Linked DNA regions of Neurospora crassa OR74A. The protein of the gene in region 1 interacts with the protein of each later gene in a pairwise test. Links are inferred from orthologs where the notes say so. Each region holds a gene or a part of one and is shown in the gene's direction. Other genes may lie near its edges.

Region 1 (4,472 bases):
ATGCTGGATTGGGTATCGTTTCGGGAAGGCTAGCTACCTGAACATCATGCGGCTCTGCATCAGGGGCAGACAGGTACGTCACAGCCACTCTCAGAGCTCAGGTAACCCGCAGTTCGGTTTGGCGTCCCGTTGGCAATTACGCCAGGGCTTGAATGATTACTTGTTTCGCCGTGTCATGCTTTCTCAAATTCTTTTATTGAGTATTCATGATCGACCCCTTTTTCCCTGGAATCGTGACCTTGACCCGAAAAATGCCATGCTCGCGTACACCGTTCCGGAAAAAAAGTGAAGCCCTCAATCAAAACATCCCCTCGTCCAATCACCTAGCTATCAAAGCGCATTTAAGCGGCAGTGATGGCACGGCGGACGCGAGCGCCACGCTGGCGGGAGGAAAGGTGAGCCTCCTCGCGGACAACGGCCTCGGACTTCTGGACGACCTCATCGGCCTCAGTGAGGATGAGCTCGATGTGGCAGGGGTTGGACATGTAGGGGTTGATCTAAAACATAACTGTTAGCCAATGACCGGCTTGATCGTCTATCTGCCGGCGCAGAAGCAGAAATCAGGGGGGTATCTCCGGGTTTGACGTACGCGACCGTGAGCGCGGTAAGTGCGGCGGCGCTGCTTGGGGGCCTGGTTGACCTGGATGTGCTTGACAACGAGGTTGCCAGTGTCAAGACCCTTGGCATCGGCGTTGGCCTCAGCGTTCTTGAGGAGACCGAGAAGGAACTCGGCGGACTTGGCGGGCCAGCGGGCGCGGGAAACACCGAACTGCTTGCCTATATGACGAAGAAACGGTCAGCACCGTGTCTTCTATGTCCTCCATTCGATTGCGGTTTCGTGTCGGTCGGTCGCGGTTCCATCATGCTGACAATGCCCCCCTATTCCCCCGCCACTTTGTCCTCCCCACTGTCGTCGTCGTCGTCGCATGATGTACCGGTTCGGGTGTGTTTGTGCATGTAAATATCGAGTAAGTCGTACCTTGGGCGGCGCGGCCGGTGCCACCAGCGTAGCGTCTCATGGGGACAGCCTCCTTCTTCTCAAGAACGTTCTCGAGGAACTTCTGAGCACGCTGGAGCTTCCAGCCATTGATGGCCTGGGCGGTCTCACGGGTGTTCTTGAAGGAGACACGGAGGTAAGAGCCGCGCGAGCGGGCGGACTTAGCCGGGGCAATCTCAGTCGCAGCGTACCGAACCTGCGATTTTGAACAAGACTCGGTCAGCGATTCCCTCTCCTCCAAGTGCTCGCAATGCTCGCAAAGCCGTCATTGTCGTCCGTTGAGACTTTCGTCGTCATTTCGGCTGCAGAAGCCCGAAAACTGTCCTGAAGCAAAATAACGGCGGCGATTCTCTCGTTCGGCGGATTTCGCAGGGATTTACTCACCATCTTGCCTGCTTGTCGATGAGAGGACGGGGAATCGACCAAGTGTGATGTTCAGAGGTGGTGATGGGTTCCAATTTTGGCGTACAAAAACCGATTTTCGCGATTAGGGCTCTGTGGGCACTGCGCAGGTGGCTCGTGCGGACCGTCACTTTGCCTGAGGCACGTGCACGCGGGGACAGTAAGTGCTAGCGCCGATAACAGCCTGCCTCCTGGACTGCCGGCCGTGCACGATAGCATCCGCAACAAACTGGAGAGCCTCGACCGCCACGCCAGGACGACAGCCAATTGCAAAGGCAGAAGGCCTCGACCGGAAAAAAAAGTGCTCCAGCGATGAGACTTCGTGCCCCGCTTTTTTTTCTTTCAATCCATGTCCAGGAAATTTTGCACCCAGCTCCAGCAAAAGCTCTTTTCCGAGTCCTCGACAGCGCCGCGCGACAACTCTAAACCCATTGTGCCTCGCACGACTGATCTTACAACGCGTTTCGGCCCAGAATCGCAACTCATACCGACTCCGACTTATCAATACCGACACATTCTATAAAAATGGGCTTCGAGCGTGGTGGCAGAGGCGGCGCCCGTGGCGGTGGTCGTGGTGGATTCGGTGGTGATCGTGGTGGCAGAGGCGGCGCCCGTGGCGGTAGCCGTGGTGGCTTCGGTGGTGAGTTTGGCCTCAATGCCATCGCCTGAATGGTCTTTGCGGTTATGTCGTTGCTTCTGTTCGTCATCTTGAGAGATGTCTCTGCGTCTGCTGCGGCCCGTGGTCGCCATGCATGCCTCTTGACTTCTCGTAGTAGGATGGCGATTTCAGTCGAACTTCATATCGCAACTCGACTCAACATGCGATGGCAACAGCAACCACATTAACGCAACACTTTACTGACAATGACTTAACAGGCGGCCGTGGTGGTGGTGCTCCCCGTGGTCGTGGCGGTCCTCGCGGTGGTGGCCGTGGCGGGTACGTCTTGTGTTCAAAACCCTTGATTACTCCAAAGACATTGACTGACATTATGAGTATAGTGCTACCCGTGGTCGCGGTGGTGCCCGCGGTGGCGCCAAGGGTGGTGCTGCTGGCAAGAAGGTCATCGTCGAGCCTCACCGTCACAAGGGCGTCTTCGTCGCTCGTGGTGGTAAGGAGGATCTCCTCGCTACCGTCAACCTTGTCCCTGGCGAGTCCGTCTATGGCGAGAAGAGAATCTCTGTCGAGAACGCCTCTAAGGAGGAAGGTGGTGCTTCCACCAAGACTGAGTACCGCGTACGTTTTCCAGGCTTTCCAGCTTGTGGCCTCAGACAAAGACTAACATTGGACTTTGCAGATTTGGAACCCTTTCCGTTCGAAGCTTGCTGCCGGTATCCTCGGTGGTCTTGAAACCATCTATATGAAGCCTGGTTCCAAGGTCCTCTACCTCGGTGCTGCCTCCGGTACCTCGGTCTCTCACGTTGCCGATATCGTCGGTCCTACTGGTTCCGTTTACGCCGTCGAGTTCTCTCACCGTTCCGGCCGTGACCTCATCAACATGGCTACTCGCCGCACCAACGTCATCCCCATCGTTGAGGATGCCCGTAAGCCCATGGCTTACCGCATGCTGCTCCCCATGGTCGATGTCATCTTCGCCGATGTTGCCCAGCCCGATCAGGCCAGGTAAGCCGACTTATACAGATCCTTGACACTGTATGTGCCTGACACTAACACATTTCAGAATTGTCGGCATCAACGCCAAGCTCTTCTTGAAGCAGGGTGGTGGTCTTCTCATCTCTATCAAGGCTTCTTGCATTGACTCCACTGCTCCTCCCGAGCAGGTCTTCGCCTCTGAGGTCCAGAAGCTCCGTGAGGACAAGTTTTTCCCCAAGGAGCAGTTGACTCTTGGTACGTCCATCCGCTTCCCTTTTGGTTGATAGAGCCAACAATAACTAACAATCACCCACAGAGCCTTACGAGCGTGACCACGCCATGGTTTCTTGCGTCTACCAGCAGAAGGAGTTCGTCGATAACTGAGTTTCGAATTAGTACTGTTCTATCTTCGTTGCTCTGTTCTGGAACCTTCACATAATTCGGTGTTCTACTGGCAGGATGGTTTTGTAAATCTGGAACGGCGAATGGCGTTTGGGTATCTGCCTTGTTTTAGCATTGTGGGAATAAAGCACCAGGGTTCTTAGACTGATATCCGGAGTGACCCCGGTTGCTTCCATCTTACGCCGCCTTTCACGATCTCGTCACGACTCCTAAGTCACCGCGCAACGAACCTCCTGTTCACCAGCGAAATTGGCCAGCCTACAACACATCAAGAACGATCACCAGTCAATCACCCTAAGAACGAGAAGGGCGCTGGATAGTCAAGCAGAGGTTGCTTTTATCGGCGCTTAAAATGCTCGACAGCTTGGTTCGTCTTTATGGCGTTTGAAATCTGCGAACTGAGAGTCCCTCCCCTTTCATCAGGGTATCACGTCGAAAACTGAGACTATTCTGGCCATTCGAGTTTCAAAGGAGATTGTTTGGGCCTGGGGACGCAAGGGTACTGCAAGCCAGTCATTACATGGCTTTGAGGATTATTTAAACATGCCTAGAGTCTATCCAGGATCAAGAGGATGCTGGGCCGTTGGTTTCGCTTGTTGATGAGCAAATTTGAGCTTGCTTAGTCCTATAGATTTACATATCAGAGTTTTGGGTCATCTTTGCTCCTTATCATCGGCCTTGTCGGCGGTCTTGTTACTTCTTGAGCTTATTGTTTGTTGCTTTATTCGATGCTGGATATGCTCTGATCTATGATTTGCATGCTATCTAGCTCTTCGATATCTCACCCCATTGCCTCTACACCTTCCCCGTACTAAGCGCTCTTGCACCGCTGAAAATCTTATCTTCTTGGCTCGTTTGCTTGCGGCGTTGATCAGAGCTGACAAAGTAACTCAGGCGACAACATATCCCGGGACGAGACGCGCAGCGTTAATGGAGAGTACGGACAGTGTAAGTGTGATCCGTTACCGGGTACTAAGCCAAAGTACCTCTACAACTTGTGGCCCAAGCCAGGCTAAAGGATATATAATTACTATGGTCCCGGGGATATCTTGGTCGACGAGTATCGAAGCCAAGGTTGGC
Region 2 (3,843 bases), on another chromosome or scaffold:
CATCGATCTTGTGGCAATCTCCATGGCCTTTAACTCAGCGCGGTGGTGTACGAACTATCTTGTCTTGCTGATTTTAACAGTCCTCATTCTGTTCTACTTGTTCTCTTTTCTCAATCCAGAGCATACGAGATTACGACCCGAGGCCACTGTGCCCGTCAAATGCGACCACCCAACACACAGTGACGAATTCATTGTCACCATCATCGAGTTCAGCACAAAGCGTTAGCAGCCTCCCACTCCTCCCTCATACCAATCTTCACCATCAGCAGCCGCCGATTTTGATGAAGCTTCCTTCGAGACCATGAATCCCTGCGCACCCTCAGGCAGCAGCTACTGGCCCGACAACCTGTCCACCTCAGAAGTAGCAGCAGCACCAGCACCATCCTCCGCAGGCTTCTCAGGCTTGGCACGGGGTAACATAACAGCCAAGTCTTTTCGACGACCCTCGTACAAGGCGCAGAGCTGGATACTGTGGTTGCTCATGATGCGCTGCACATCGGCCAGCTTCTTGGCAATGGCGGTCTGCTTTTGATCGCTGGCTTCTACTGCTTCCTTGAGTCTTAACAGACGGGAGATGTGCATGGCTGAACTGCAAGTACCATGGATAAACTACAATTAGAACAACAGTGGAAGGGCGAAATATTCTTTTAGAGAACGCGCCATTGGGACAAAGTGAGCGGTCTACCGGTTCAACTTACTGGAGATCATGGTACTTGGAAACTGACTTCCTTACGCGGTCTTGGATGGACGTGAGCGCGCCTTGATAGGCTGAGAGCAAGGCCTTGCGTTTCTTATCGCGCTCTTCTCTCGCCTGAAATTAAAAGAAATCAAGAAGTGAACTAAATGAATGCTTCGCTCACAGGAACCGTATTTTTGCTCGTTGTTGTTGATTGATGTTCATACCTTTTTGAGACGTGCTCTAGCCGCGCTGGCTTCCTGAAGTCGCAAATTGTATGCTTGGTAGTCGTCGTCGGAACCAGAATCGTCAAGTACGGTGTTAGTCGACTTTCGTTGCCTGGACTTGGCGGTGCTCGCCGAGGGTGCCATGTTTGCTCCAGGGTGTTTCCCTTGAACGTAGTCTTTTAAACAGTTCTAGTATTGGGCCAAAGACTGAATCATAATTGACAACTTGAGAAGGAGAAGTGTCAGATGAACAGAAGGAAGTTCGTCCAAATCTCACGATCGATTGATGTCCCCGGAAGTCGGCAGGCAAGTGTTTTCTCCACAATTATATCTGGAAGGAGCAAGTGACAGGCACCTCCCCTGCAGCAATGAACCGTAGTTCCTGAACTGTGTGGAATTTTCGGGCGGTGAAAGCTGGCAGATCTTTGATGGGATCGCAAGGCCCCCGCCAAAAAATTGAATGCCGTAGCACAGACAGGGCGCCCCGATTTCCGAAAGTTCAGTTGTACACCAAGCCCATTGACCTTTGACGACTCAGCACACAAGCTGAGAGCCTCGTCAACGACGTCGAGCAATCATGGGCCTCGCCGCTGCCAAGAAGTGAGCGCATATCTTGAGTGGCTGTGCTCCCTTTGTTGACTGCGTGCTAATCACGAAACTTCAATAGCAAGCGCAAACTGGGAACCGACCCCAACAACACGAAATGGTCCCGTAACGAAACCACTTTTGGCCAAAAAATCCTCCGCGCCCAAGGTTGGCAGCCCGGCGAGTTTCTGGGCGCCAAAGATGCTGCGCATGCCGTACATCACACGGAAGCCAGCTCGTCACACATCAAGGTCACGCTCAAGGACGACAACCTCGGTCTCGGCGCGAAACGAAACAATGGCGACGAGTGCACCGGCCTCTTTGATTTTCAACATCTCCTCGGGCGACTGAACGGCAAGAGCGAGGATGTTCTGGAAGCCGAAAAACAGAAGCGCGAGAATCACATCCGCAACCACTATCTGGAACAAAAGATTGGAACGATCCGCTTTGTCAGAGGCGGCTGGTTGGTTGGTGACGTGGTCAAGGAAAAAGTGACGGAAGAGGACGGCGTACCACAGAGCGATACTGTCGACCAACAAGTGGAGACAGTTCCCTCTCAGGACACCAAGGACGCCGAGCCCACAAAACGCAAATCCAAGAAGAGGAAGGCGGACAGCGACGAGGAAGACGAGAAGGAAGAAAAGAAGGACAAGAAAGTGAAGAAGCGGAAGACCGACACCGAAGCCGAAACAGACAGCGAGTCCTCCAGGTCAAAGAAGAAGGAGAAGAAGGACAAAAAAGAGAAGAAAGACCAGAAAGAAAAGAAGGACAAGAAGGACAAGAGGAAGCTGAAAGACGCGAAACAGTCTGAAGAGAGCTCTTCAGATGACCTAGAGTCGTCTGCTACGGAGACCAAGAAGTCGAAAAAGGACAAGAAGAAAGAGAAGAAAGAGAAGAAAGACAAGAAGAAGGATAAGAAAGAGAAGAAGCGCAAGGAAAAGGAGCTATCAGACTCTGCCACAGAAAGTGAAGACAGCAAATCGAAAGCTCAGAAGAGGACGAAAGACGGTGCTGAAATAGAGACGAGCACACCAGGTGGAAGCGGCACTTCCACGCCTACTGTTACATCTTCAACCCGATTCTTGGCTAGGCAAAGGTTCATTGCGCAGAAAAAGATGGCTTTCACGGACAGCGCTGCTCTCAACCAGGTCAGTATATCAACTCTGGTGAAATTCCCCGTTCTTTGAATGTCATCACTAACTAGGCCTATGTTCGCAGATTTTCATGATCAAGTCATAGAAAAGAATTGATGTGGTCGGTTGGGAAGCCTTCTTATGCTGCGTATTAGTTTCTTTTGTTCCACACCTCATCATCGATTTAGCGTTGCTTTTGACCCCAATTCTTCACACACATCATAGCAGCTTGTCTTGTCTAATGCAATTGAGTTGAAGATACCATTGTCATGACTCGACCAGAACCGCCAGTTCCTTCGCCCGTCATCCTGAACCGTGATCCCTCTGCGCAATATATGTTGATATATATCGCGGCTCCTTGACACGTGACTACGGTGCCGTTCACCGCACTTCCATTCTCGAAGTACCTCGGCTGTCGTGGCATTCGAGTTGAGACCGAACTGCTCGTCGACGCCCGGCAGGATGCTTGGGGATACGAAGGCGGGTCGATTGTGCCCATAACATCAGACCAAATGATGAATCTACTTCCTGGTATGATACTTGCGCGATCTTCTCTACGCCCATGTTCTATTATTCTTGGCAATCAGAGATTTGAAAAATTTCCTCATGTTAGATCAGATATGTCTGGTGCCTCTAGCGTTCCAGAGGCCCAGGCGAAGCGATGCTCAACGATCAAGAAAGATATCCAAAATAAAAACGCAGAAGAATGGTAGCACCTGCTCGCTGCGGCTCCATTGCGCCGGTTGATCAGTACTTCGGGCTTCGAACGCGAACTGGTTGCAGACAGTGACACTCACTGTCTGTCGCCTCGCGTCAGGAACCTCGTCTCTTTCGTGCGGAGGAAGTTTGTTCGCGACAACGAAATCCAACGACAGGACATCCACCATACCTCTCCGCTTTCTTCGCAAAACCTAAATTTTACAGTAAGGACGATCACCTTTTTTCTTTTTGCCCATGGAATTCGAAGCCATGATTTGCAGTTGGTTGTTGGTTTTAAGGAACTAAAAAGTACATCCGCCTTTGACGACCACTTTCCAGTTGGCACCCCTCGCCCTTCACTCACCCTTCACTCACCCCATATTCAACCATCTTCGATATCGCAGCGCCCAGCTGACTACTTCTTTCCCCGCACATTCTTCGCTATCCTTAGCACCAACCACCTTTGGCTGCATATTCACATTTCCCGCTGGGCAACATCTGGTGGCTACCTCGAAATCAACTC

The links.
Region 2: the proteins of NCU03702 (region 1) and NCU02528 interact in a two-hybrid assay, tested with the Saccharomyces cerevisiae proteins (2 studies listed by BioGRID, with this or other methods). The link is inferred for Neurospora crassa OR74A from reciprocal best matches to the Saccharomyces cerevisiae genes NOP1 and PXR1.

Annotation. Positions count from the first base shown.
Region 1 is NC_026505.1:2,139,412-2,143,883, reverse strand, and holds NCU03702 (rRNA methyltransferase NOP1), read left to right. Parts: upstream 1-1,637; 5' UTR 1,638-1,924; coding exon 1,925-2,039; intron 2,040-2,275; coding exon 2,276-2,336; intron 2,337-2,398; coding exon 2,399-2,633; intron 2,634-2,694; coding exon 2,695-3,020; intron 3,021-3,078; coding exon 3,079-3,245; intron 3,246-3,306; coding exon 3,307-3,374; 3' UTR 3,375-4,190; downstream 4,191-4,472. Other genes in the region: NCU03703 (60S ribosomal protein L17), read right to left, coding at 342-497, 590-777, 980-1,193, 1,382-1,384.
Region 2 is NC_026501.1:2,635,397-2,639,239, reverse strand, and holds NCU02528 (hypothetical protein), read left to right. Parts: upstream 1-1,366; 5' UTR 1,367-1,480; coding exon 1,481-1,503; intron 1,504-1,570; coding exon 1,571-2,636; intron 2,637-2,706; coding exon 2,707-2,727; 3' UTR 2,728-3,176; downstream 3,177-3,843. Other genes in the region: NCU02529 (hypothetical protein), read right to left, coding at 331-589, 699-811, 904-1,047; NCU02527 (hypothetical protein), read left to right, coding at 3,242-3,330. UniProt on the Saccharomyces cerevisiae protein: Involved in rRNA-processing at A0, A1 and A2 sites through its action in U18 and U24 snoRNA 3'-end final trimming. Negative regulator of telomerase through competition for binding to EST2 with TLC1.